Linked DNA regions of Mus musculus. The protein of the gene in region 3 interacts with the protein of the main gene of each other region in a biochemical or structural test. Links are inferred from orthologs where the notes say so. Each region holds a gene or a part of one and is shown on either strand. Other genes may lie near its edges.

Region 1 (4,250 bases), on a different chromosome or scaffold from region 3:
TTGTCAGAGCCCCTCTGATCTTTTTGAGAAGTGAGCAGATACGTGAAAGTGCTTTTAAACCATCAAGTGGTGCTGGGGTGTGAGGATCCCTCCAACCCCCGGTGACTATAATAGGCTCACACAGGGGCACTTGGCACTTTGGAATCATGATGTTCCAGTGTGCGGTTGTATGGGGACAGCTCTGCCCTGTGTCAGATCCTTTGCAGGCAAAGCACGCTTGTGCTGAAGCAGGGGCCATCTCACCTTCTCCTTGCTTACAGGTGGCTCTCGAGGGCTGGTGCATGGGCGGCTGTGGCGTCGGGATGGGGTCCTTGCTGTGACCTGTGCCCAGGAGGGTGTGATCCGATTGAAGCCTCAGGTGTCAGAGAGTAAGCTATAGTGAAAGATGCCTGGCTCGGCCTGGGGCTAAAAGGACTTTGCACTGCCATTTCTGAGGCAGGAGTCACAGTTGAGAGCTGGGCTTCCTGCCTCTTACATACAATAAAGAGATTGCTAACACTGGAGTAGCTGACCTTTAATAGAACTACAGCCCTCCCCGTGCCTCTGACTTCCAGGACTACAGTCGCAGTCCCCAGCCCTTCACCAAACTGTTTCACTGGTTTAGAGGCCCATGGATACAGAGACATACTGATTCTGACCTTGGCCACAGCCTCCAGCTGTGGTAGGCTGAAGAGCCCATGCCAAGACTTCCTCCTGGTGTTATCCTAGGGTAACCCCAGCCAAAGCCTGCTCGGAGTCCTGTCTGGCATAATAAAGTTCCCCTCAGTCTGCTGCAGACTCTTTCTGGAACTACTCAATAGGCTCCCAGCTGCTGTGTCCTCAGCCCCTGTCCCCTAACCTGGGCCAGCCTGTCTCCTAGGCATGGCCTTAAGACAGGAGGAAATTAGTCCAGCACCTCTTTGATGAGCAGCTCCTTGAGGCTGGGCGGTGGGGTAGAGGTAAGGCCTGCTTCCTGTAGTGCCTGGAGCTGGGCCTCCGACTGCCGTTTGTCCAGGCCCAGGCGCCAGGAGAGCCGGACATGGGCCTCAAGAAAGGGTGCCAGGAAAGGATGGGGTCTCTTGTCCCCCAGCAGCTGCAGGGCCTTCTCACTGCAGGCTCGGGCTTCCCCGGGATCCTCCAGCTCCTGATGGCACACGGCCAGCCCAGCCAGAGTCAACAGGGGACGGTCTGGGCCAGATGGGGTGCCCAACTGGGTCTGCAGCTGCCAGGCGTTGGCCCACAATGCCAGAGCCTCACGATAAAGACCAGTGCAGGTGAGGCTCTGTGCCCGCCGCAACTCGGGCAGCACAAAGAAGTCCTGCAGGTCCGGAGCTTGGCGTAGCTCTGGCACTGCCTGCAGGTGGCCCAAAAACTGTTCAAAGGCCCTGCTGCGACGGGCAATGGTTTCTGCAGTAAAGTTCCGGCGCAGGCGCTTACGGGGAAAGGAGATGGCAGACATGGGGCCCCGGAATTGCCGCTGCAGGTTTCTGTGCAGCCGCTCAAAGTCCGAGTATCGGCGAGAGATCTGGGCTGGCTGGCGATCTGGTGGCCCTGGGCCCATCACGGCGAGGGTGTAGAGCTGTAGGAAGGGTGGATGTCAGGGCTGATGTAAAACCTCGGTGGGTCTCTTCCCTCCCTCCCGTCCATACTCCGGGCTCTGCTCTTCCACCTCACCTCTTCTGAGACTGGCTAGGAGGAAGCTGCAGAGCTTACCTTACCTTACCTGAGGCTCCTCTGAAATGACCCAGGCCCAAGGTAGCATGGGGGAAAAAAGACAGAAATGAGTTTCAATGTCTGGGGCTGCCACCATGTTACTGCTCCGGGAAATGCCCAGCCCCTTGGGAGTTGGTTGTTGGGAAAGCCTTAGGAAAGCCAGGGGTGAACTGAAACCCAGACCCCTCTTTTGGGCGTCTGAGCCTTCTGAGAGCCAGCTAGGAACTATGTGCCACTCTGGATACATTACTGGCCAAGCTCGTTCACACCAGACCAAAGGATGGGTCTTCAGACAGCCTCAGTAGCAAAAATGATGGATTGGGACTCATGTAACCGCAAGTCAGCCTCCTTCCTGTGACCCAGGCAGAGCAGGGTCTCAGATCTTCCTGTGCTCTGGTTAGAAGTTCCTAGGCTCAGGCCACTTTTGCTCAGGGATGCCCGGCTTTGGTGCTCAAGGTTTCTAGGTGTCGCACGCACACTGGAGTACACTGCATCAGAAACAGGGTGGTTCCTGATGCTCTCGGATTCCTTTCTGGTTTTGTCCCTTGAGACAGTCTCACCGTGTAGCCCATGATGGCCTCTAATTCACAATCTGACACAGCCTCCTGAACGGTAGGATTAAAGGAATGTAACTCCATGCCCAGCCTCTTCAATTCTTTTTTTGTTGTTTTTGTTTTGGGTTTAGTGTCTGTCTGTCTCTGTTGTTGTTGTTGTGTTTGGACACACACCCGAGTCTGATGCCATAGTTTACAAATGGAGGTTAGAGGAAACCTTTCAGGATTCTGTTTTCCTCTTCCATCATGAGATTTGAGGACAGCTCAGGTCATCGGGTCATGACAAGTGCTGGGCTATTTAGTTTGGCAAGACGGTGTTTTGGTTTTTGAGAGTCTCCTGGGTCCTGGCTGACCTCAAGCTTGTTCTGTAGTCAAGTGCTGACACTACAGGATTACCCAACCACACCCAGTGTATGCAGAGCGGGGGATGGAAGCCAGAGCTTTGTGTGTGCCAGCCAGGTACTCTACCAGTGAAGCAAGCCACACTGCCAGCCCTCTGCAGTAATCCAAGGTCTCTATAGCCCAGGCTAGCCTTGAACTTTTGGTGTTCCTCTTGCCTTAGCTCCAAGGGTTGGGATTATAGGCATAAGGCACCATAAATGGCTTGCTTGCTCGTTTCTTTCCTTCCTTCCTTCCTTCCTTCCTTCCTTCCTTCCTTCCTTCCTTCCTTCCTTCCTTCCTTCCTTCCACCATGGGTTCTGGAGGTTAAACTCAGGTTGTCAGGCAAACACCTTTTCGGGCTGAGCCCTTTCCCTGACCCCCTAGGAGCTTTTTCAAGGAAACCAAAGGCTATAATGATTCCTGCTTGGTAAACACTAACCAGGATGCCTACAGATCCGAGTCCCCACAGATCCGAGATCCAAGGTAAGGATCAGTTAGGACTAATGAGGATCGATGCCAAGCTGACGGTTTAAATGGGGCACCTGCAAGGGTCCACATTAAAGGGCTACCCAGCATATCCAGACATTTCCCCCAAGTATATCCAATGGGGCTGCCAGTAGCCCCGTTATTCCAGTTAGGCTTACCTGGTCTTTCTTTTTTTGAAGATTCACAGTGCATTAAAACAACAAAAACCCATTTCACACCCATCCGCCCTGTATTGTTCAAACAGACAGACTAGATACTGTTTCCTTTCTTTTTTTTTCCCCAGGCTGGCTTTGAACTCCTGATCTTCATGCCTCCATCTCCCAAGTACTGGACAAACACCCACCCGCCAGGCCTCGCTCTTTTCTTGTTTTTCTACAACTCTAAGAAAAGGTGTTTTCCACAGGACACACTGTAGGAAGAGCTGCTCTGCATCAATCTTTTATGTATATAAGTTGATTTTTAAAATGCTAACATGCTTATTCTTAAAGAATTTTATGTACATATAAAACTACTTTGAGGGCTGGCGAGATGGCTCAGTGGTTAAGAGCGCCGACTGCTCTTCCAAAGGTCCCGAGTTCAAATCCCAGAAACCACATGGTGGCTCACAACCATCTGTAACGAAATCTGACGCCCTCTTCTGGTGTGTCTGAAGACAGCTACAGTGTACTTACATATAATAAATAAATAAATCTAAAAACAAAAAACAAAAAAAAAAACCTACTTTGATCATATTTATTCCTCACTCTTCCCTTCTATTTTTATTTTTAAATTTTTGCCAAAGACCATTTCCTATCCGCGTAGGTAACAGTGGTTGTGGTTGTTGGGGCTCGGCTGTAGGTCAGTGACCACGATCTTCCTAACTTGTGTGAGGCCATGGGTTCCATTGCAGTAGCACAGCATGGTGTGACTGCTGTTCTGTCGACTGCCTCGTGCTGGACCACACATCTCCATCCTGCTGTCACTTAACCATCAACAGCCCTGCAAGGTCAGTCTCTGGTCTCTGTCAGCTGAGGAAGCAGGCTCCAAGAGGGAGTGAAGGGCACAACCCTGGCTCTGAGACCTGATGCTAAAGCCCTTACTCTTGACCTCCAGGGGAAGAAATATGGAGACATGGGATGCCCACTGTACGGAGGAGGA
Region 2 (3,500 bases), about 64 Mb from region 3:
CTCAGCTTCCTTAGTTAGTGCTGAGCCACACACTCCAGGGACAACCGGCAATTAGGGGGACATCCATTTTAATTATTAACAAAATTAAAGAAGTGCAGACCAGACTTTCAGAAACCCAATCCTTTCCCCCTCACATTAAGCCCTTTGAAAACATGTCACTGTTGCAGATTACACTCTCCCTGACGTCACAGGATAAGTCACAGAGAGGTGGTTCCGGAAAAGGACGTGAGGCTGTATGTTGAACACACCTCATGCACAAAACTCCTACCTCATTTCCTTTCCAAAGATACCTGGTAATTTATAACATTTCCAGGCATCTGTGTGGCCCGACATACACACAAAGCCAGGGAGAGTGTCTGTCTGGGTGGATCTTACTGGGGACCCATTTCTCAAGCCCTCCTCTCAGATGGGTACATAGCCCTCCTTGAGGTCACCCTTGGGGGAGGGGTCCTGTCCCTCCTACAATCCCCCTCTGGATGATCTGGATGAATCAGGACCCTGATTCAGTGTGCATAGCCACAGCAACTCAGCTGACCTGCCAGCACTCAGGACCGTGACGGACTCCAAAGCCAGCCGGCACCAGGTGGGCCCTCAGCAAACACGTTCATTAAGTGGCGATGAGTGCTGCGATCTGCAGTGTCACGCTCGGATTACCACTCAAAAAATAACTCGCCTACCAATATTCCCTCCTGATGACAGATTCCCGTGCGGCACCAAGGAGAGAGGCTTGGCCACAGACCACGTCTCTGAAGGACCTGGGAGAAGGACCAGCGCTTTGCCCAGCTCCGGATTTCAGCCACGTCCTCCTCACAACTAGCTTCTCACATTTGCAACCAAGTGTGCAAAGCCAAACACACTAGTGAAATCTGGCTTTTCCCCAGATGGGGGAAGACTCTTGGCAAATTCACTTTCCAATCTTCCCAACATGAAACCTGCCCACTCTGTGATGCCGGGTGAAAGCACAAAGAGCTTACACCAGCTTAAAAACCGATCCAGCATGGCACGGCTCTCCATGCTCAACTTCAGAACCTTCTTTTCTCTTAAACAATGCGGAAAAAGAAAAAAAAAGTCAGCTTTCAGAGGCTGCCTATTTCCTTTAGCCAAAAGATAGTGTGATTCAAGGCTTTTCCCTCAATCTAGAGAGCAACTGCAGAAGGCCACAGTCACCCTGCCAAGGTACGTCCCCTCCAGAGTGCTGTAAGGCACTGGCTAAACAAGAACTGCCACTGCTTCCCTCACCCAAGCACAAAGAACAGAGCAAACCAAACCACTCCACTCATGCCTGGGAGACAAGACCCTCCCTTCTAAGCTCCGATATGATGCGGAGAGAGACTACTCATATGGCAGCCGGCTGAAACAGGCCTCCCACTTAAAGACCACTTCCCCCAGACACATCCCCAAAACGACTTGGTACCCTTAAAATGGCACGCATGAACTTACCTTCTGGTTCTAAAGTGGTATCCTCAACTAAACTGAAGGAGGGCCGGGCCAGGGACAAGGTTGCCATGGTGACCAAGACCAGGCAGATGAAGCGCCCCCAGCTGACCATGGTCACAGTGCCAATCCCTGGTCCTCTTCCATATCTCCACGTGGACGGTAATCCCATCTGCACACTTCTTCTGAGACCATGGGCTACCTGCAATGCCTTCAGCCCACAGGGGGCTCAGGAGCCAAAGCTCTGAGGCGGCTGTGCTGCTGTTGCTGTTGTTACTGCTGTTCCTGCTCCCACTGCTGCTGCTGCTGCTGCTGTGGCTGCCACTGAAAGAGAGAGATTCAGCCAGATTCAGTTTTTTCCCCCAGTGCCAACTTGCTTAAACCCAGATGGGATAAAACCATTTCTCAGCCTCTCAATACATTCGCAAACACATTCTTTCTCATTATCGGAAAAGCCTTCCATCCTCACCTCAGCGTCCCAGGTGTTTCCAGGCTAGTCCACAAGCTGCAGTAGGCTAATCTTTTTTTTTTTAAGCTTACTTTTAAGAGACGCAAGATAAACCATCACTGTAGGACCCAGCCACCCAGCTCTGCAGCGTGCCCTTCCGTCCACTATCAAAGCTGCAAGGTTGCTGAAGCAACTTGACCTTCATTCCTTTCAAGGGCAACTGCAGAAAAACCTGAGTTTAAAACGCTGGGCTTGGCATGGCCAGCCTCATTAACGTCTCTTATTCCAGCTGGCCTTTAAGACGCTGACTGGAGGAAGGGTCTGCTCTGAGAACCGCATTTCAGCTGAGCTGAGCGGCACGTCCTCGCTTCAGAACGGTTCTCAGAAAGAAAGGAGACCAACAGAATCAAAGAATCTCAGGAAGGCTTCAAAAACATTCCCACCAGTTTACACTTGTCAGAATTCATTTTCGAATGCAGGCGTGTATTTCAATCTTCCGCCAAGCAGCCACTTACAAAGAGTGAGTTTAATCCAACCGGGGGATTCAAAGCCTGAATTCCCTTCCACTGACTACAAGGCAGTGTACAGGCATACTAACTAAATATCTGCAACCGACGTCAAAGGGGTAAAGATACAACCCTTGATGAATAATTCAAGATTTTATTAGTAATGGTGATGATACGTACAAGCTGCCCTGGTATGTGATTGGCCTGGGAACTTTCAATACGCTAACCTATTGGCTAAACCTCCCAAGTATCAGTTACAAGGGGGCACTCAATTTACTAGATCCAAAGCAGAGAATTTCCCAAAAAAAAAAGCTTACCACAGTACAAATAACTTTATGTTTGTTCAGTGTCTTCAGTGACTAATCTTTGAGTCAGAATGCACGAGCTTTAGAGAATCTGCTGAAACCAATGGCAGGAAAGGATCGCACAAAACCATGGGCTTTGGATGCTGGGATGCCCATTTTATGAGACTGGGGATGGGTGAGCGTTTTAATGAAAAAGAGAGAAAGAGAAAAAGAATTCTAATCCCGTGCGCTTTTGATGCTTTCAATTATGACACAGGATTTCGACACTGCCAGAACCTCCGTCCTAAAATCTGTTCCTTTCAGCCTTCACTGAGACTAAGGCAGAGAGGACGTACCATCTCCAAGAGGGGAATAGGAAGCTGCTGTTTGGTTGTTTTTTTAAGCACAGGTAGAATGGTATAGCTAACAACAAAAGCCAGGGGTATATGAGCAGTTAGGTGCCCAGTGTTTTTAGTTGGCTGGAAGGATTTTTGTTCCCCCAAGTCTTCTTTCTTCTTAAAGCCAAGAGTCACAAAAGATAATTCCTTGTCTATTTCTACATACCAGTCAAAGGAAAGTGCACAAACATTCTCGTTGATTTCCTAAGAACTTTCAGAATGCAGGTAAACTCCCCTCTCCAGCAACTTTGCAATCTCAGGTCCCAGTAGGTCTTGAAGCAGAGTGCTGGGCCCACTGTCTCTACTAGCCACTACCCAGGAGTACCTCAGCTCCAGCTGAATGAGGAAGATGGCCAGTGCCCCAGGCTGACTCAACTTGAACGTTCGTTCTTCGAAGTCCCAGCCCCCACAGGAGCCCCCTCCTCAAACC
Region 3 (3,500 bases):
GCCACCTTCATGTACATGCTGCCCTGTGGGAAGCAGTCGGCCTTCTTCTCATCCCAGAGCCAGGAGTACACTGTGGTGTTCTGGGATGGGAAGGAGGAGTCCAGGTAATCTCTTCCCCTGTCCTTCCCTGCACACTGGGAACAGAAAGCAGCGATGCCGGTGGGGTGTATTATTGAGCAGACAGAAGAATGCAAAGCCTGGTTGTAGTACATTCAAAAGAGAAGAAGGGCCAGGTGGGGGTGGCAGAGGCCTTTAATCCCAGCACTCAGGAGACAGAGGCAGGCGGATCTCTGAGTTCAAGGCCAGCCTAGTCTACAGAGTGAGTTCCATGACAGCCAGAGCTACACAGAGAAACCCTATCTCAAAAAAGAGGAGGGGCACAGGTCTGAAGCTAAGGGAAGCAAAGAAAAGGTTGGATGTGTTGGAAACCCAATTCCAGGAAGAGAGGGAGAGTGTTGCTTCGAGATGAAGTTAGCCACATTCTGAACACGGACATTAGATGATGCTGAAGGTGGAAGGGTGAGCAGCCAATGGGGTGGGATTACGAAGCCAGCAGACCAGAGCCGAAGGAAGGCAGGAGGCTGTAGCAGAAGGGTCGCTGTCTAATAATTGGCTGTGGGGCAGTCTCTTCTGGTTTCAGCTCTTTTTCATAGAAAAGTGGCAGGAAGTGAGAATGGGGAATGAGATATCTGAGAAGAAAAGAGAAGGTCCAAAATGGTCACCATGATCTGGGGAGCCAGGGTGCCTGCAGGGAAGTACAGAGACCCACTGTAAGTTACAAAGAAACCCACCAGCCTGGCTATGTGACTTCTGCTCACTCCAACTCCTAAGACTGAAGATGGCTGAAAACCTGACTGTTTCACCAGGAAGGAGAGAGGAAGCAGGATGTGAGGGTCTTTCAATGGGGCATTTAGAGAGAAGGCTCGTAGGACCTGAGACGGTAAAGTAGGGAGAATACACAATGGCCCTAGAAGGTCCCCAGCTAGATATGACTCAAGGCAGAGTAAGCTAAAGATCCAGGAGAGGGTCAAGAGGCAGTTGACGGTCAGCATCGTGTGGCCAGAGAGCAGTCAGTAGTAGAAGGCAAGAGGTCTGCTGTAGGGAAGACCCACTAGGAGGAAGAAAGAATTCCTGAGACCCAGAGGCATGGGAAGGAGAGTGGCAAGAGACGAAATCTCCATGGAATGGAGGTTTTGTGTGATGGCCTTTAGGGTTGTCCGGTGCAGGCTGCCCCTTCTGCCCCCAACACGAGAGCTTTGCAAGTTAGTGTAGTCTTCAGATGCTCTCAGTGGAGAGCATTTACAGGCCTCACAGTCTGCGAGAGGAGGCTTAGACGACGTGAGAGTTGACTAGGGTCGGATCAGCAGAATGGACTCTGACATTTGCATGGATCTGAGGCTCTTAAGCTGTCAGTGGGGACATGGACAGAGGGAACATAAGTTCACAGTTCCAATTCTTTGCATTGGAGAGGACCAAAGGAATGTCACTGGCACTCCGGGATCTAGACATAGTCTCTAAGTACCAAGGAGAAGCAGGGTTTATCAAATGGCTGTCTCCAGGACTGGGCCTGGAACATTTGACACAAGAGAAGCAAGGAAGCAGGCAGAGGCTTCTGGGAGCATCTTAATGGGACCCCGGAGTCAGCCAGGTCTGCAGATGCTGGGACAGACCCTCTCTCACCCACCTGAAGATGTTTGCTTTCCCTTCATCACAGACGTGAGCAGGATGCTGGAGAGAGTTGGACCTGGGGGGAAAAATGATCTTTTCCAGTAAGAAGAAAGTGTCCTTAAAAACTCCCACCAAAGAAGGGAGAGTGAGGCAGAGGGCTTCTACTTGGGCACACAGAGCAGGGAACCTGGAGAGAGAGAAGATCAGATGCCCAGACTGATCCGTGGAAGAAGAAAGGAAAGAAGGCAGGAAAACCAGGGCAGCACGACACTACTATGGTTAGACTCTGGTCTTTTCTCCGTAGTTTTTATTTTTCTTACAAAGTGTCATTAATTTTTTTTCAATACATAGGAGGAAAGACTAAAATGAATAGACAGAACTTTGAAGGAAGTTTAGTTTGCAAGTTTTGTATCCATTTTTATCATCTGCAGTCGTTTGGTGTCAGTCAGGGATGGAGAAAGCCTTCTAAAACCTGGCTCCAGGAAAGAACTCATAGTGTGGCTCCTGTCCATTGCTCCACTTCCTCTCTGACCGGGAGAAAGAGCTGTGCGCTCTGGGGAGTGCGGCTAACCAACTAAACACTCCTCTACTTGGCTTCACTCCCTTCTCCATGCAAAGGACACTGGGGACATGTGGAGGGGCAGTGGTGCTGGACACATCCTGGCCTGTGAGCCAAGAGCTTGCTCTCCTCACTAACTGTGAGCTGTTCTCAGAGTACCCAGGTTGGAGGTGTGTCTTGAGCTCCATCCATTCAAGTGTAGACTTTGCACATCTTATCTTTAGCCTGCAGCTGTCTACTAAGCTCAAGAGGCTGCCTCTGTTTCTGTGATGGGTGGCCTCTGGTCAGTGGGAGAGCAGTGAGCAGACCAATGGAGGTGCCCTTTGTCATCATGTTGGGATGGTTGCATGAACCCTTGGAGGTCACAAAAGGAAAGGAGGCTGGCTTCCTGTTGGAATGCCCTTTCTCTTCCATGTTCAAGCCTTGCATAGCAGGCAAACCCAGATGTACCCAATGGCATGAAGGCTGGTCCTTGAGTCTCTCAGGATGTGGCAAGGTGTGCGTCTGATTTCAAGAGGTGAACAGGGTAGCAGACAGCGTCCTTTGTGTGTAGTTACCTTTGTGTCACTGTGGGCAAAATAACTGACAGAAACAACTCAATAGTGGATAACTGATCCAGACTCACTGTGTCCAGTCCCTGCTGTCTCAGCCCCCTGCCCTTGGGGGGAAAAGCACGGTGGCAGAGGCTCTTTTACTTCTGGGAAGACAAGATGCAGAGAGAGGAAACAGGAGAGACAGAGAAGGTGGGGAGGGAGACCGGGGTCCTGATAGATCCTTCAAGGCCCTGCCACCAATATCTCATCCCCTCCAGCTAGCCTCGCCTCCCAATGTTGCTAGAACCTCTCAAAATAGTGCCTACATCTGGGAACCAAATCTTTAAAACATGAACCTGTGATAGACCCTTCATGCTTAAAGGATTACCCCTGTTCCAAGGCCATTCCACCAGCCTGGGGAAGGAGGTGCCCCTGGCTATCTGAAACTAACTATATGTCGTTGCTAACCACAGGAATTACACGGTGGTCAACACAGAGAAGGGCCTTCTGGAAGTACAGAGGATGACCTGCCCCGGGATGAAGTTGAGCTGTCAGCTCAAGGTCCAGAGCTCAGTGTGGATAGCCACGGAGGTAACTGCCAGCCTCCAGGGTCCGTGTCAGGGTGAGCGTTAGAGGGGGACAGTTCCCAGGGGGACCAGACTTGTAAAAGTACAAGATGTCAAGATCAACTTGTCCCTGAGCGATCCCTAAAATAATGTCATCGATCCTGTGAGGTAGGT
Region 4 (3,500 bases), on a different chromosome or scaffold from region 3:
TCTACGTTTCTTATGTTTAAAAGTCACTGACGGCCATTGCTGAGTGCGATCCTTCACATCTAACAAAACGGGCATTCTTAAGTGCAAAGAGGCCCGAAATGTCTCATATTTTCAGGAAAATCTGCAACCCTGACGGGATAACCAAACTGGATACACTCTAGTTTTGCCTGGCTGAGCAACTGGGTGATGAATTTGAGACTATTACAAGTGGCCAGTGGCAGGTTTGTTTTTTTGGTTTTTGTTTGCTTGCTTGTTTGTTCATTCAGAGTAAGTGGCTTGGAGGACATATACGCTGAGATTTTGGCACCTTACATAAGCCCTCACTTAATCCCCAGCATTGTATTGTCCAGACAAGCTACAGTCTTCTCCCACAGTAATTTGCTTTCTTGGTGACAAATGTTCAAACTCTCAGAGGTCCTTCAGATTTCTGGGAACTGATCATTGGTGACTAATTGGGTTGCCTAAAAGTTAGTCTTCTCTGTGATACCCTACTTAGAGGATAACAGGGCACATCTTTATTACCTCTGTTATAATTTGCTCACCAGTGGACTCCACAGAGTGAGCCCCCAGGAGAATGAGTACAGCTGGAAGGAGCCTGCTGATCCTGACGTGACTGACAGAGGCTACCCTTGATGGAAGAGCTTTCTGATGGGCTGCTTAAAAACAAAACTCGACACCTATAAAATTAACCTGGCTTTTAAGGAAACAACTTCTTCTTTATATTGCACAGGGAATTATCTCCTCCACTATCACGGAGGAGACAGGAGCAATTGTAGCCACTTCCCTTTCAAAATCAAGAGAGCACATGTACACCCGTGAGGGAGACGGCTGGGCAACAAGGCAGCATCAATCACTGTTGGGAATTTTACCTAAGTATCAAAATGCACAAAAAAATCCAAAGACTCCGGGGGCTATTGCTGCTCACAGAATGATGTAGAGCGCTCTGTATATTAAAACGGATCTGCAAAGGACACCATTCCACAGTGTCCTTTGGATCACTGTCCCAGTAAGGACACATAGAGAAAAACTATCTGTATTGACGAGTCCCTGGGTACTTCCCAGGGGACTGTTTGTATTAGTGACACTTCTGCCTTTACTCTGCAAAGCTGGAAAAGGGAGATGTGAGTTGAAATTCATATCCTCAGCTGATAATTATTTTGAAATGTGGTCATTTGGTATTTATAAAAAGCAATTTGAAGAAAAATGTCTTCTTTATGCTTCTACATCCTAAACTTTTCAGAGATTGGTAACTAAAGAGCTGTTGTATTTTCTCTCCTGGGGCAGGACTGGAAAGAAGCTAAGATCTGCAGTATAACTTCCTGTCAGCCCCCATGTGGCTAATGAATTAATTCCGTGCCTATATTAATCTTCTTATAGAATGCGAGGAGGAAAAAAAAACAAAACCTGTTTCTTCCTATTAAACTAAGGAAGCCACGTCCTATAAAGCACCTGTTGTACTGAAACCATGGATAAGGACAGATCTTAAATGCTAGGCGGTACTAAATAGAACGGCGTGTATAGGCATTGTGTAATAAATTCAAACTAGGAAGCTGAGAAAAAGTTGTGAAGGCTATCTGTATAGCCTAGCCTGGCCTTGTACTCAAAAATCTCCCCACTTCTCAAATGCTGGGATGACTGGCATGCACCACCATGCCTAACCAGGAAGGCTTAATGGAGCACGGAGTAAATGCCTATGAGATTTAGAAGGGACTCCAAGCATTTAGGGGTTATCTAGCAACCGACCTCTTCTATGGCAAATGGTGTCACATTACATTACATAATTCTGAAACTACCTTTTCCCCTCAGGGTAGCCATGAACCCATTCTTATAATGGATACCTTGCAGTCTGCAGAAATCAGCCTTTTGGCCGTGTGAGTATGAGGGTTACACAGCTTCCGCTGCTTGTGGGGTTGAGCTCTGATCTAACCACTGAAGGATCTTATCCAGCTTGGTTCCTAGTTACGCCCCTGAAAATGACTGTTGGGTTGCCCACGGTGTGTGTCAGCACAGGGCCAACCTCCGAGTTAAGGGTCACAAGGTCACCTCCTTCCCCTACACAGGATTCTCCAGCAAATCCAGACACACCTCTCTTGCAGGGGCAGGGGCAGGGGCTGGAGTGGCTCTTCCATCTGAACACTTCAACCACAATGAAACACTTCTCCTAGTCACCTTCCCCAGTGCAAGGGGAATACTCTCTTTGCCTAATAACTAGATGCTTCTCCAGAAGATCCTCTCTTCTATAAAGGTCAAAAATTCAAGACTGCAAAGCTTACCTTCCACGTGGCTGCATTGCGTCGGAAGTAAGCAAACATTCGTGTGAACCAGTTATAGATTTCGTTTAGTGTTAGCTGCTTTTCTGGAGATTCGAGAATGGCCTACGAGGCAAAAAGAATCCGGAGAAGGTAATTCATCATCCAATAGGCAGGGTCATTCGACAGTGTTCATAAAAATGTAGAAAAAGAAAACCCAACCAAACCGGAACCAAAACTGGAATTTGGAGCAAACTCCTCAGGCAGGTTTCACAAAATGATCGAAGATTAATGGTTGTATTTAAGCAGTTCAGTAGCAAAACTCGAAATGGAATTATCTAATTGTTTGGAGTTTTTATTTCTGTTTCCGTACAGAAATATTAATTTATTAGTCATTCATAAAGCAGAATCAAAGAGAAATGCAAAACATTTCACTAGCTGATTAAAGCTCAGTAATTATTTAGAGCTCAGATTAATTCCAGGGATCAGAGATTACTGTAGCTTTGTGATAATTGACTTGCCATCTTTAAACAGCCTCATTCTCACTGTTGTGTGAAATGAATTCCCTAATAATCACATCGTATTGTAATACTTAATCAAAAGCAATTATGTTATATATTGCAGTTTTTAAAAACCTTATAGAAAAGGTTTTAGCATGCTTGCATACTAAGTGGTTTTAAATCTACTTCATCAATATAATATACCCACGTACACCTTTTGATAGCATTTCACGGTCCATGTTATTTACTTACCTGCCTGATTAAAGATGCATATGTAAATGGTGGTCTAACTTCCGCGTTCTTATAAAATTCTTGGTTCTGCGCAATATCTGCTAAATGAGAATCATTGTCCTATTAATGATCGCTTTTTAAAAAGGGGCTCGTCGATAGGAACTGCAGATTCCCCATGCCGCCCCAGGCAAAGACAGAGAGTAGCTACCTGAAGAAATGGGCACGTTGTATTTGTCTGAGTACCGCCTGCGGATAGGTCCCACCGTGTGCATGCTGGTGGTGGTGATGACGGAGGGGCCTTGGGTGACAGGAGTCAGGGGGGCGGTGGGGGTTGTTGGAGTATGAGGTAAGCTCTGTGGAGAAGCCTCTGAGGCAGACTTGGAGAGGGTGACACTTGATACCAGATTCAGCTGTGAGGAGAAGGATATGGGTTAGAAGAACTTGAGAAAGGCAAAACAAAAAGCACAAATCAAACAACCACAGAAATCCGAGCAACCGTGAAAACCTCTCTTGTCCCAGA
Region 5 (3,500 bases), on a different chromosome or scaffold from region 3:
GAGAGAGGTTGCAGTTGCGGGCACCCGCGGATGCACAGGTAATCACAGAGGGCCGGTTCTGTGGGAGGGAGAACAGGTCAACTCCTCATCTACTGAGCGGAGCTGCCAGCGAGCCCAGCTCTCAGGCCAGGGACCTTCCCTGTTCCTCGGGCCCTCTGTGCTACACAACAGCAGGTCGAGAGGGGGAGACTAGACTGGGGTGGGGTCCCCTTCTCCAGCACCTGCAGGTGAGCCCCAACACACAGCATCTCCTAATGGCCAGGCCCCACCCTCCCCTGTTAGTGTGTACAAACACTGACCAGAAACCTAGGAATCACAGGCCCAGAGGCTCAGAGTCCATCAAGGGTCACACAGGGGACAGAAACACTCCACCCCACAGAAACACTCCACCCCACCCCTCCCTCTCATGCTGCCTGTGTGCTTTTAAAGTCTCTTACTACAGTCTTTGTTAGAAACCTTACCCTTTTGTTGTCTCTGGGGCTTTTTATGTGGGGCTGAAGCCTCGCACACTAGGCAAGTGCCCATGTCCTCAGTCTCCCTCTACCTATCTTGCTCTTTGTAAGTCAAGGCCTTATGAAGTTGCCTCAAACTTGTAATCCTCCTGCCTCAGCCTTCCAAGTACCTGAGATTATATGCCTATACTATTAGGCCTGGCCTTGTTTTTTAAATAGCATTAATTTCATTTTCCTCTAGTAGAAGTAATAGCAATAACAACAATGGCCTGCCTTACTCACAGGTTTATGACCACTAACTTTATAGGACCCAAGCCCCCAGCAACGCTCTGACATTTAACTTAGGCCTTATGAAATCATATGGGGGAAGGGCCGGCCTCTCAAGAGGATTGCTACACTGACCCCGAGGAACACAGTGCCAGGGAAGATGGGCATCCAAGCCAGGGCCAGGCACTCATCCAGATCAACCCTGCACTGTGCAGAGAGGAAGCCAAAGGAGTGAGGGTACCAACATCCCCTCACTTCAGGACTTCTGCTCGGGGTTCTCCATGGAGCTCTTAGTCCCCAACATCCAGCCTGATATGGCCACCTCCAGATGACATATACATACCTGCTGCCGCTCCACAGCTGACCTGCCTGTGTCACTGCTGTTCTTAGTCAGGGCAAGAGGCTGCTCCATGAGGCTGGGGAGAGATGCGTACAGGTGGCCACCATGCAAGCTCACGGCGGGGGCTGCAGCCCGTTCAATGGGACTGCGGCTCCGCTCCCGGGGATCTCTGCGGCAGTCTCCGTTGACAGTCTTATTCCTGAAAGACAGGGTCATGCTCAGAGGGGGGTGACGGGCAAAGGGGGCCCTGGGGAGGAGCCATGTGCTTTCTCCTAGGTGTTTCCATGACATTCCTACACTAACGCTAAGGGCAGGACCAACAGGTGAGTTGAGGAACCACGCCCTGAGTATAGGAGAGGCACCTGCGGGCGAAGCTGGCTTTGTGGCCTCCCTCCTTTCCTGCAGGCAGATGCTGCTGCCTGCCTACACACGAGATCTACTTCATGGTCAGCTTGGGCACAGTTGGTCATTGAAGGGTGGGAATGACCCAGAGAAATGGTGCAATCCTATAAGCCAGCTCTGGAGAGGGACCACAGTGATGTTTGCTCCTAAGCAGCAGAGGCCATTTCTACCTCTGTCCAGAGAGGACACTGATGACCAGTGTGATGGCTCTGCTTCTCGGTGTGTAAGATGGCAGCCAGTGGGCAGCACTTGTACCCAGAAGCCACAGCATCAGACAAGCAGAGGACAGCAGCTCCCTGGAGCTGTGCATGCCGGCACTGAATGTGGCAAATGCCCCATGGACCACAGGCCAGCTGCTCAATGCTGCCGCCGCTACACGGGCCTGTGGAGAGTGTCAATACAGCTATGGCGTGAGAGCCCGCAAGGCCCAGCTAACACAAGGTGTTCCAAGCTCAGCTCTGTCCTCCCTCCAGCCACTTATTCTAGAACCCCTTGGGGATTCTAGAATCCCTTCGAGTCTGTCCCTCTAACTGCCAGAGCTGAGTTGTTCAACTTTAAAATTGAAAGGAAAGTGGAAGATGGTTCCCAAGACTTCTGGACGTTCTAGGTTATTCTCTAAGCCCCTGCTTGGCCTGTTCTTTGCCATCAGGGAAGCAGGTCATGTGCCTATGGGCAAAAGGCAGCCATGCCTGCCTGCTGGGCCAGCCAAATGCAACACCACCAAAGGTCATACCACACACGTGACAGCCACACCTTTTATTAGTGACCACTTAACTTTCTTTTTTTTTTTTTTTTTTTTTTTTTTAAAGATTTATTTTATTGATTATATGTAAGTACACTGTAGCTGTCTTCAGACACTCCAGAAGAGGGAGTCAGATCTCGTTAGGGATGGTTATGAGCCACCATGTGGTTGCTGGGATTTGAACTCTGGACCTTCGGAAGAGTAGTCGGGTGCTCTTACCCACTGAGCCATCTCACCAGCCCACCACTTAACTTTCAATTGTGAGCAGTAACATAGCACTTCCTGGGTACCCAGTATCCCTTTTCCTCACTGTTGTAAAACTACACTGCCACACCCACTGAGCCCCATCGTTCCGTGGCTTCCCTGTGTTCATCTCAGAGCAAATCTGACCTTACAGAGAGCACATGTCAGCAGCCAACACCTTTCTATCTACTGTTCCTGACTGCCTGTCCACGCTCACCTCTGGCTCTTGCCACAAAGCATTCATAACCACCTGCCAGTCCTCAGGGAAGCTGCAGCCATATTGTCCTTCCCTGAATTCCAGTGCAACCCTCAAGGCACAAGCCACCACACCACTGCTGGTCACCTCTGCCTGTCCTACACTAGCACTGAAACCACTGGCGAGATGGAATCCTGCCTGCCCTGAGCTGCAGACCATCTGCACAGGGAAAGGAAGATATCAGAGTACAAAACTAGGGGTGGGCAGACTCATGGGGAACCAGGGTTGGCCCGTGGACCACAGTGCATCCACAGCCTTCACACGATTCTACACTCCCAGGGAGCATCATGGTTCCCAGAAGACCCTGTGGCAGGAAATGGGTGCAGAAGAACCCAACACAAGGAGGGCTGGGGGTGGGGGGATCTGAGGAAGACCCTATAGATGGAAAGAAGACTCAGGCAGGCAAATATCACTTGTCCCTTTAACCTTCAGGTCCTTATCACCTCCCACCTTCCATCCCCACAGCATTTCACGTGGGCAAGCACCAACCTCAGTGATGAGATGCACAGAGAGACCAGAATTAGGTGGTACCAAGAGGGGGCCTCCAGGACCATGCCTAGGAAATCAGTCAACTGGCACTGGGCATGGAACATCATACAAAATACCACGAAACACAGAGCAAGCCTGGGAATGTGCTAGTTAATTTTAGTAAAATTACACATCACTTTATTTCCAGCTCATTTTCCTGGTTCCTGGAGCTTAAAGACAGACATTGTTTTCCATGTCCCTCCCCCTTGAATGAATCACAGCCCAGTGTGTCCTGTGCTGTCAGGACGCTAACCCAAACCACACACATCC
Region 6 (4,011 bases), on a different chromosome or scaffold from region 3:
AGGGTCCCACTGTTACCCAGGTTTATTAGGGTCACTTAAAAATGTTTAAAAAGTGCTTGATAAGCTATGAAGAAAGACTCCGGTTCTTCCTCAGAGACAGGTCAAACAAAACCTGACTGGCCAACGGGGTTCTTATGCCTGGCTCTGGAGGTTCTGTGGTTTTTCCTTTTCTTTAGTGCTGCAGACTGAGCCCAGATCCTCACACATGGCAGGTGATCACTCCCTGACCGAGCCCCGGCCTAGGGCCAGTCTTTCATGGTCCAATGTCTGCTATTTTGAGAACACGCTCACTTTGGCGAGTCTCTTTTTCCACCTCAAATCTGTGAAATCCTCTGGAAAGAATAACTATGGAAGAATTACTCCCATAATGACTGAGAAGTCACCCTTTCCAAGTTCAACTTTCCAGACCTTCTGTAGCAGTGCAGATCCACATATATAGTTCTGCCTGTTGTTCTTTCCCAATATAAACTGGGTACTTTAACTACCCAGACTGCCAAACTATTAACCCTTGTCAGAGTTGATGGACAAGGGATGTCTCATTGTCCTAGACAATTAGCAGTTTACAAATTACTAGTATAGAGCATCCTCGTTTTCCCAAGGGAGACTCCTCAGACTCTTCTTAATCGAAAGGAACTAGGGTTTGCTTATGGAGCTGCGTTGTGAGCCTTGGTGAGAGTGCTAAGTAATATGTATTTCTTCCAATAGAATCTGTGAGAGCAAAGAAATGACTAAAGATGTATTAGGTACCCAAAACTGGTTTAGCTTATTTCTGTAGCAAATAAGAAATACATTTAATGCTTATGGAAAAGTAAAATAATCAAATGACAAAAAAAAATCAAATAGCAAATCTGAGAATAGCTCTTGAAGCATCAGCATCCATAAGACTATGAAGGTTTGATTCATGTGAAAATCACAGCTGCAAAGTAGGCTCAGCATGTTCTTTTGCTGGTAAACCATGGGCACCCCAAATTCCACCAAACTTGCGAGTCAAACAGGATCTGCATAGCAAAAATACCTTTATCTTTTATGTGATATGGATATGGATTTGGTTTATTCATATTAATTTTTAAGGTGCACAGTACTTACACAGACAGTTGTGGATCTCCTTCAAGAAGCTCGAAATGGTAGAAAATTAACCAGATGACTTCCTGGGGTCTCAACCATGATTTTACTAAGTAACAAACTACTGGAATCCCCTCATTGCCAGATTTGGGGAGGTGGAAATGAGGAGGTGAGTGCTAAGATACATGGTGTGTTTCTGGGGTGATGACCATGCCCTAAAATTGGTAGTGGAGATGGTTATAGTCAAAGTGAAGCAGTAGGCTGCACGATGAGTGAGTAGTTGCCTAAAACAGAAGAGATTTGCATAGCTTCGGTATTTTACTACTAAATATTCCTTCATAAGAGGTATGAAATGTTTAACCACCACCAAAAAGTTTAATTAACCAGTTAAACGATTTACAAAAGGCTTACTGTTTTGTAATCTAGAACAGAATGTACATTGTGTACAATGTATCATTGTGTCCTGTTCAGCAATATCTTTCCGAAATACTTTGGACTTGAAAATTTCTAAGTTGTTCAGTTTGTTTCCTTTTATCAAATTAAGAATATGATATTTATAAAAAATAGTTATTTATAAAAATGATTTTTAAAAATAAGAACATTATGAATGCAATAACATAAATTACCATTGGCTTTCATTTTGTCAAACATTGGATGAGAGATTCCTGTCAATCAAAGGCATATATATATATATATTATATATATATATATACATCTATATATTTCATATAGACATATGGATATCTCAATTCTAGTTAGAAATCTCAGTCTCAGAACAAAACACTTTTCCGAGGACATTCACAGAGACAAAGAGCTGCTAGTGTAATTTGGTGTTATACTTATTTTTCAGTCTCCCAACACAAACACATCTTTCAGGCTATTGGAGACCATTGAGTAAATTTAGAGTAGTTTGAGACTTAGCAACGCACTCATCCACACACAACCGTCAAATATTAACTACTTCTGCTTTCATTCTTCAAAATTGACTAAAACATTTATTTTGCTACTCCAAAGATAATTTCATGGGTGTAACACAGTCTTGTTATTTTTATTTCTGGAGCACAAAAGGAAAGAAATATCTAGTACAGCTTCCATTCATAAATTAACATGTGAATTACCTCTCTTTAGAAACATAAATACAAAGTGTAAATATGTTAACCCTGTAAACAGACACACGAAGACCTGCACACACATATATGACACGCTGAGGGAAATGCCTTAAATGCACTCAGATTTAGTTCTAACTCAGTGCCTTTATAATAATAGAGGAAACTCTGCAGGGGCCAACTGCGTGCATTCCCACCCCTCTGCGGTCACGGGGCTGTGAAAAGTCACACGGAGAGTCAGGCTACAAAGGCTCTCTCTAGCTCTGTATAGAGCCTGACATCTCTGCAGAGAACACAGAATGCGGCTTTGCTTCCAAGGGCTGCACAGCCCCGGCGGGGAAAGGAGGAAAAAGCTGGACAGCTCTTGCTTCTCCTACTCAAAGCCAGGCCAGGCAAGGCAAGGGATACAGGGAAGAGGAGAGGCGAGATAGAGGGTGAAACCCAGTGCCGCCAGCTCTAGGAGCTGTCCGGGGTGCTGAAATCCCACTCACCGGCCAGAGCCGCTGCGCCCAGGAGGCCGAGGAGCATAGCCGGCTGCATGGTGCCTCTCGCCAGCTGAGTGTAGGAGGAGCTCGGCGGGTGCGGGCTCCGCAGAGCAGCTGTGGCGCGGTGGGCGCAGGCCTGGCTCTTATGAAGGGCAGGCGGGGTGCAGTACCCGGGGGCGAGCGGCGGGCGGGGGCGCCCCTCGCTCAGCCCTGACGTCACGGAGCAGCCCCGAGGCGGCGCCAGCGGGCGGAAGCACAGCCAGTGTGTGCGGCCTTGCGCAGGGTCCCAGCAGGCACGGGCAGGGATGCGGGGACGCCAGGTGCTGTAGATCTCAGGCAAGAAGGGACAAGGGTCCGGCTCATATTGTCGCGCCTGCGCTCCAGCTCCTCCGCGCACACCTCCGATGCTGCAGTTTGGGGTTGTGGGATACTTGTGATTCTGAAGTGTGTAAATGACGGGGGTCAGCTTTCTGTATCCTCTGCCAAGCTGAAGAAAATCCTTGCTTGGAATAAATACACAGGCGGTTCTTAGACCTTAACAAGAGAGTAATGGCTGTAAACCTCAGTGTGCAACCATGAATGTGTAACCTGCTCTTGGTTGAGATGTTTGGTCAGTGTCTGTGTATCCCATCTATGGCACTTCTGTCTTCTGTTTATGGAATCTCCTACCCGACGTACTTATTCAGATGAACTTAAAAAATCAAACAGGCCAAAGGATACACTTCAAAATTCTCTCTCTCTTTTAACCTCAATTTTTTCCAAGTTCAGTTTTTTCTGTAACTACTTTCTGTGGCTTAGGCCTATTTTAGTTTGGAGCACACATAATTGGTGCTTTTCCTTTCGCTCTCCCCACCCCTCTCCCTCCCCCTCCCTTCCATTCCCATCTCCCTCTCCCTCCTCTCCCCTTCCCTCCTCGCCCCCTTCCTCTCCCCCTCTTTCTCTTGATTGGTCACTTACCCAGCTCTTCTGATAGACATTTATTTAAGCTGTCACCCTTTGGCCCTTAGTTACTCTTTTACAACAGGAGCATAGCTTGGGGTGAGGTAAGGAGTACATCCTTGAAAACCTGTTCTTCTTTGCTTGCTTTTAAATAGAGATAGAAACGCATTTTAAATTATGTGCGCAATGGAGATGATAGCATCTTCCAGGTTATTTTCAACATGGATTCTGTTAGCCTGATAAGGAATTGGGGGAAAAGCGCCAGGCAATCGTCCTGCCCAGAAGAGACACAATCTGCTCTGATAACAGATTTCGAGGACCAGTGAAACCTGACGTGAGATCTTTTTGGTCAGGTGATAAAAGTTTTCAGTTCCTTTTCCTGAAAAGAGTGAGGCTCAAATTCTCTTTGCACATGCTGA
Region 7 (4,242 bases), on a different chromosome or scaffold from region 3:
TTCAGAATTTTCTTACAAGTATTTTTATGTTTGCTTAAAAAATGTTCCTGGTCCTGTTGCTTTATGAAAGCAGGTGTATTACTATTACCTGATGCAGAAAGGAAAAGACTGGTACAGTTTAGGCCCTAGCTGGGCATTTCTAAAGACAGTATTGAATGATCCATAGTGTTTTCCACGGGAGAACAATGCCACGGCAGACCAATGATCCATTATTAGCACAGACAGGCTAAGAATGGGCTTTCTGGGCCAGGTGCTGGGGTGCAAGCCTGAAATCCTAGGTGCTCAGCAGGCTGAGGCAAGAAAATGCCAAGTGCAAAGCCTGTCTCTTTACGTTTACAGATTATTGAGTTCACAGCCTGACTGGACAACTTGGCAAGTCCGTCTCAAAATTCAAAAGTTGGCAAGGGCCTATGGGTGTAGTTCAAGGCCCTGGCTTCCAATACCCAACATTCATTCTCTCTCTCTCTCTCTCTCTCTCTCTCTCTCTCTCTCTCTCTCTCTCCCTCCCTCCCTCTCTCTCTCTCTCTCCACCCCCTCTCCCCCTTTCTCTCTCTCTGTGCAATTCCCTGGAGCCAGATAGCACAAGTTCAAATCCTGGGACTACCACCTGCTGATTCTGTCATCTCAGAGATGTCACCTAACCTTTTTTGGTGCCTCAGTTTCTTATCTACAAGATGAGATAATCAGGGCCACCATAAGAAGTCAGAAAGTGAGGGCATGTGGAATGCAGACAATGCTTGGCCCACTAAGGCCATCTAACTGCTGCTGCTGTCTGTGCTGACCAGGCCTTCTCTGCACAGCAGCAGGGAGCATGCATTTGGTAATAATGGAAAATTCACCATACTCAATTCTCTTCCTGGCCTGTGAGGCCCAGGCCTCTGGGTGGGTGTCATGAACTGATTGATTGATTTAGGATGTAAGCAAGAAATGAAGGCCCAGATTACTTCCCCAGATTCTGGCAACAGCTCTCTTCCCCAGAGACAGACAGCACTTCCGTCTTCAAGACATAATTACACCGAGGCTAGCTTGATTCCGTCAGCTACACAACAAGAATTCCGTCTACCTTTTTGAACTCAGTGAACAGAAAGAGCTCCTAGAGAGACACCTTCCTGGAGAAGGCCTACAAAACCCAAGTGAGGACAGCACTCCTTTGGAACTTGGCAATGCTAGAATTCACCTTAAGGATTATGCTGGAATAAGAATGGATTTTTTCCCCCTTCTAAAACAAGAATTAAACCAACAGCTCTGCACTAAATCCCACATTACCCCAGGAACAAGCTGATACCTTAGCAAAGCTGTGACATGCCCCAACTCTGCAGTTACAAAAGTCCATTCATCTCCGCCTCCAGCGGCTCAAAATGGAGATAGTGCCTCTCACTAACTGGATACAGATGGGGAGGAGAAATGTGCGGAGAGTGTGGAGCAACTTGGAAAAAATAAGCAACGCATTAACTGAGGATGATTCTGGCCGCTCAGATGCCAACTCTGGGGACAAATAAACCATCTCCCTCCCTCTAAGTGGTAGGCCCTGAGCTCATGCCATCCACACCAAGCTCCTCTCAGGAATCCAGGCCCTGAAATCCCCGGAGGGGCTGAAATCTTACTGTGACTTATAGCGAAGTCCCTTATACTCCCTTCTAGCAAAGGGAGAACATCCTCTACCCGAGCTGGGCACCTAAGTCTGAGCTGGGTCATGTGGGGCCCTGTAGGTCTTTGAGTCAAAGACTTGGAAGGGGGGTCGGGGAAGCAGGTTAGATATTGAAAAGCCTTCAATTCTTTACAATTCAAAACAGTAGAAATCCAAATTGCTCTGAAGAAAACTTTACATTTTTACTCCTATCTTAACTCTTACATGAAACAGCCAGAAAAGCCAGGGCACCACACATCTGTGAGTGCTTCTGCCCTTCTGAAGAAGGCAGCAGTCCCCACAAAGGTCAGCTATACTCTAACAGGCCTGGCCACAGCCGAGTCCCCAGCACTCACCACTCACCCTTTTCCCTTGCCATCCTTTTAGACCCAAACACTAAAGACAACAGGAAGGAGGCATGGAATTGGAGGAGCAGGGTAAAGCAGGCAAAAGCAACAGGCTCCTGGCTCTAAGTTTATGCAAAGAACAAAACATGAGGGGCTCCCTCACCAAGCATCAAACTGGAAGCTCTCAAAACTCCTGGAAATACAAGCAAAACCATTCTTTCTCTTCTAAAAAGAGACAATCCCCAAGACCTCTTCATGGTCTGCAGAAAGGTGGGGGTGGGGGTGGAAAGTTCACATGAAATTCTGTACCCATAAATGGTAGAGCGGGATCCCTTTGTACGCGGCACTTGGTGTAGGTCCACCTTTGTGACATACAATTCCCAGTTGGCAGTGGAAACACCACAACGTGGGCTCACAAGGACCTTAAGGCCTGTGGCACTGACTTTTTCAAACTTTCTGGGCAGGAGCCACACTATGCGCTTGGGCCCCGCCAGCGCCAAAGCCGCGGCTCTCTCTCTCTTTCTGGAAGTCCGAATGAGCCACCAGCACCCGCAGAGGCCTCAGAGGGAGAAGACTGGGGACCTAGAACACACAGGGCACGGGCGGGCAGGACAGTCCTGGTGGGCCCCGCGCCCAGGCCAGGATTTACCTTCCAGGTAGCAGCTGGAGGACGAAGAGAGCCCCTTCTTGGATTTGCAGCCCACCAACTTCAAACAGATCTCCAACATGGTCCCGTGGCCACGGCGAAGGCCCCACCACCCCGGGCCCCCAGCCCCGCCAGGCCGCGCTCCCAGCAGGCCCGCGCCCAGGCCCGCGTCCCGCCTCCCGCCTCCCGCCTAGGCCGGTAACAAAGGGCCCAGCGCCCCGCCCCAGCCGTCCCTTAACCCCTTCCAGGCCAAGGGAAGGCTCCACGCCCTCCCCAGCTGCGTAGCTGCGCTGGCGTAGCCCCTGCCCCTGCCGCGTGTCCGGGAAGGTCGGTGGAAATGCAAATTCCTCTCAAGTTACCAGGACTGGTCTCGGGGAGCGACTGTGATTAAACCTAAAGTGGGTATCTGAGGAATGTGAACAGTCAGGGCTGGAACCCACAGGAATACCGAATACCGGACGCGGGTCCAACCACCCATTTAGACCTGGAGTTGTGAGTTTAAGCTTAGGGAAATGTCTCTATGGTGCGTGTTCATTGTGGGCTGGAATGGCGGTCCTTCCTGACCTCATTTTTACAAGAATTTCCCCTGTTTTTGGTGCCACAGGTAATGTTTGAATCCATTTCACGGTGAGTTTTTGTTTTCCTAAACGCTAGCTCGAGGTTACCAACAAGATTTTAACTAAGCAATGGTCACAGCAGTGGACTACTGGCACTAAGTTGGTGGGAAACAAGGACCCCAACTACAACAAATCTAATAAAAACTCACCCAAGTTCCAATGACAAGGGAAAAATAAACTTATGAAATAATGTCACATAACTAAAAGTCTGGTCCCCATCCTTGCACTTGAAGAGCTGACTGTCCCAGGATGGTTCTCTGAGAAGTGCTCCATGTGCCTTGGTACCCAGAGGGTGCGTGCACCTAATCCTGTGAGGAAAGTTATATCATGACCCAGATTCTTCATGTGAGAACAGACACTCCAGAAGGTCACATGGTGGAAACCAGAAGACTCAACTCAGTCAGGGTCTGCCTGGTTCCAAAGTTTGGTCTCTTGGCTTCTAAGCAGACTGTACCGGATAGCTAGATCCATGACAAAAGTTATCACCTGCCGGGCGTGGTGGCCCACGCCTTTAATCCCAGCACTCAGAAGGCAGAGGCAGGTGGATCTCTGAGTTCGAGGCCAGCCTGGTCTACAGAGTGAGTTCCAGGACAGCCAGGGCTATACAGAGAAACCCTGTCTCGAAAAGCAAAAGAAAAAAAAAAAAAAAACAGTGCCATGACTGTGCCTGTGACAGGCCTCTCAGCCAGGATGTCACACACTTTTCGTGCTAATCAACCCAAAAATGTGTCTGTGCCAAAAATGTGTCTGAAGCCAAGTGGACCTACTTTGCTGCCAGAACAGGCCTCACAAGTACCCAGGGGACTTTCAGAACTCACGCCATTCAATCTCCTGGAGAAAAGGACCAGAGTGCCCAGGAGGCAAGGGTACCAACTGGATACTTTCCTGATCCTGGGAGACCATTTTCTGTGAGAGCCCACATGCTGACTAGCGCTGTCTTGATCCTGCCAACCTCTCCATGATTCCATGATGCCGACCGTAACACTGAGGGGGTGCCACCAGTAC

The links.
Region 1: the proteins of Lrrk1 (region 3) and Snx21 form a complex in vitro, tested with the Homo sapiens proteins (2 studies listed by BioGRID and IntAct, with this or other methods). The link is inferred for Mus musculus from reciprocal best matches to the Homo sapiens genes LRRK1 and SNX21.
Region 2: the proteins of Lrrk1 (region 3) and Fgfr2 form a complex in vitro, tested with the Homo sapiens proteins (2 studies listed by BioGRID and IntAct, with this or other methods). The link is inferred for Mus musculus from reciprocal best matches to the Homo sapiens genes LRRK1 and FGFR2.
Region 4: the proteins of Lrrk1 (region 3) and Foxp1 form a complex in vitro, tested with the Homo sapiens proteins (2 studies listed by BioGRID and IntAct, with this or other methods). The link is inferred for Mus musculus from reciprocal best matches to the Homo sapiens genes LRRK1 and FOXP1.
Region 5: the proteins of Lrrk1 (region 3) and Vgll4 form a complex in vitro, tested with the Homo sapiens proteins (2 studies listed by BioGRID and IntAct, with this or other methods). The link is inferred for Mus musculus from reciprocal best matches to the Homo sapiens genes LRRK1 and VGLL4.
Region 6: the proteins of Lrrk1 (region 3) and Chgb form a complex in vitro, tested with the Homo sapiens proteins (2 studies listed by BioGRID and IntAct, with this or other methods). The link is inferred for Mus musculus from reciprocal best matches to the Homo sapiens genes LRRK1 and CHGB.
Region 7: the proteins of Lrrk1 (region 3) and Abl1 form a complex in vitro, tested with the Homo sapiens proteins (2 studies listed by BioGRID and IntAct, with this or other methods). The link is inferred for Mus musculus from reciprocal best matches to the Homo sapiens genes LRRK1 and ABL1.

The regions. Positions count from the first base shown.
Region 1 is NC_000068.7:164,789,021-164,793,270, reverse strand, and holds the end of Snx21 (sorting nexin-21), read right to left. Parts: intron 1,730-4,250; coding exon of another isoform or gene 1,698-1,729; exon of another isoform or gene 1,693-1,697; intron 1,559-1,692; coding exon 884-1,558; 3' UTR 501-883; downstream 1-500. Other genes in the region: Acot8 (acyl-coenzyme A thioesterase 8), read left to right, coding at 261-379. UniProt on the Homo sapiens protein: Binds to membranes enriched in phosphatidylinositol 3-phosphate (PtdIns(P3)) and phosphatidylinositol 4,5-bisphosphate. May be involved in several stages of intracellular trafficking.
Region 2 is NC_000073.6:130,260,309-130,263,808, forward strand, and holds part of Fgfr2 (fibroblast growth factor receptor 2), read right to left. Parts: intron 1,759-3,500; 5' UTR 1,607-1,758; coding exon 1,441-1,606; intron 1-1,440. UniProt on the Homo sapiens protein: Tyrosine-protein kinase that acts as a cell-surface receptor for fibroblast growth factors and plays an essential role in the regulation of cell proliferation, differentiation, migration and apoptosis, and in the regulation of embryonic development.
Region 3 is NC_000073.6:66,266,342-66,269,841, reverse strand, and holds part of Lrrk1 (leucine-rich repeat serine/threonine-protein kinase 1), read left to right. Parts: coding exon 1-104; intron 105-3,233; coding exon 3,234-3,351; intron 3,352-3,500.
Region 4 is NC_000072.6:98,942,346-98,945,845, forward strand, and holds part of Foxp1 (forkhead box protein P1), read right to left. Parts: intron 3,391-3,500; coding exon 3,189-3,390; intron 3,082-3,188; coding exon 3,002-3,081; intron 2,376-3,001; coding exon 2,274-2,375; intron 1-2,273. UniProt on the Homo sapiens protein: Transcriptional repressor. Can act with CTBP1 to synergistically repress transcription but CTPBP1 is not essential. Plays an important role in the specification and differentiation of lung epithelium.
Region 5 is NC_000072.6:114,862,822-114,866,321, forward strand, and holds part of Vgll4 (transcription cofactor vestigial-like protein 4), read right to left. Parts: exon of another isoform or gene 1,772-3,500; coding exon of another isoform or gene 1,632-1,771; intron 1,259-1,631; coding exon 1,063-1,258; intron 59-1,062; coding exon 1-58. UniProt on the Homo sapiens protein: May act as a specific coactivator for the mammalian TEFs.
Region 6 is NC_000068.7:132,780,431-132,784,441, reverse strand, and holds the start of Chgb (secretogranin-1 precursor), read right to left. Parts: upstream 2,801-4,011; 5' UTR 2,709-2,800; coding exon 2,660-2,708; intron 1-2,659. UniProt on the Homo sapiens protein: Secretogranin-1 is a neuroendocrine secretory granule protein, which may be the precursor for other biologically active peptides.
Region 7 is NC_000068.7:31,758,497-31,762,738, reverse strand, and holds the start of Abl1 (tyrosine-protein kinase ABL1), read right to left. Parts: upstream 2,801-4,242; 5' UTR 2,703-2,800; coding exon 2,624-2,702; intron 2,567-2,623; exon of another isoform or gene 2,348-2,566; coding exon of another isoform or gene 2,284-2,347; intron 1-2,283. UniProt on the Homo sapiens protein: Non-receptor tyrosine-protein kinase that plays a role in many key processes linked to cell growth and survival such as cytoskeleton remodeling in response to extracellular stimuli, cell motility and adhesion, receptor endocytosis, autophagy, DNA damage response and apoptosis.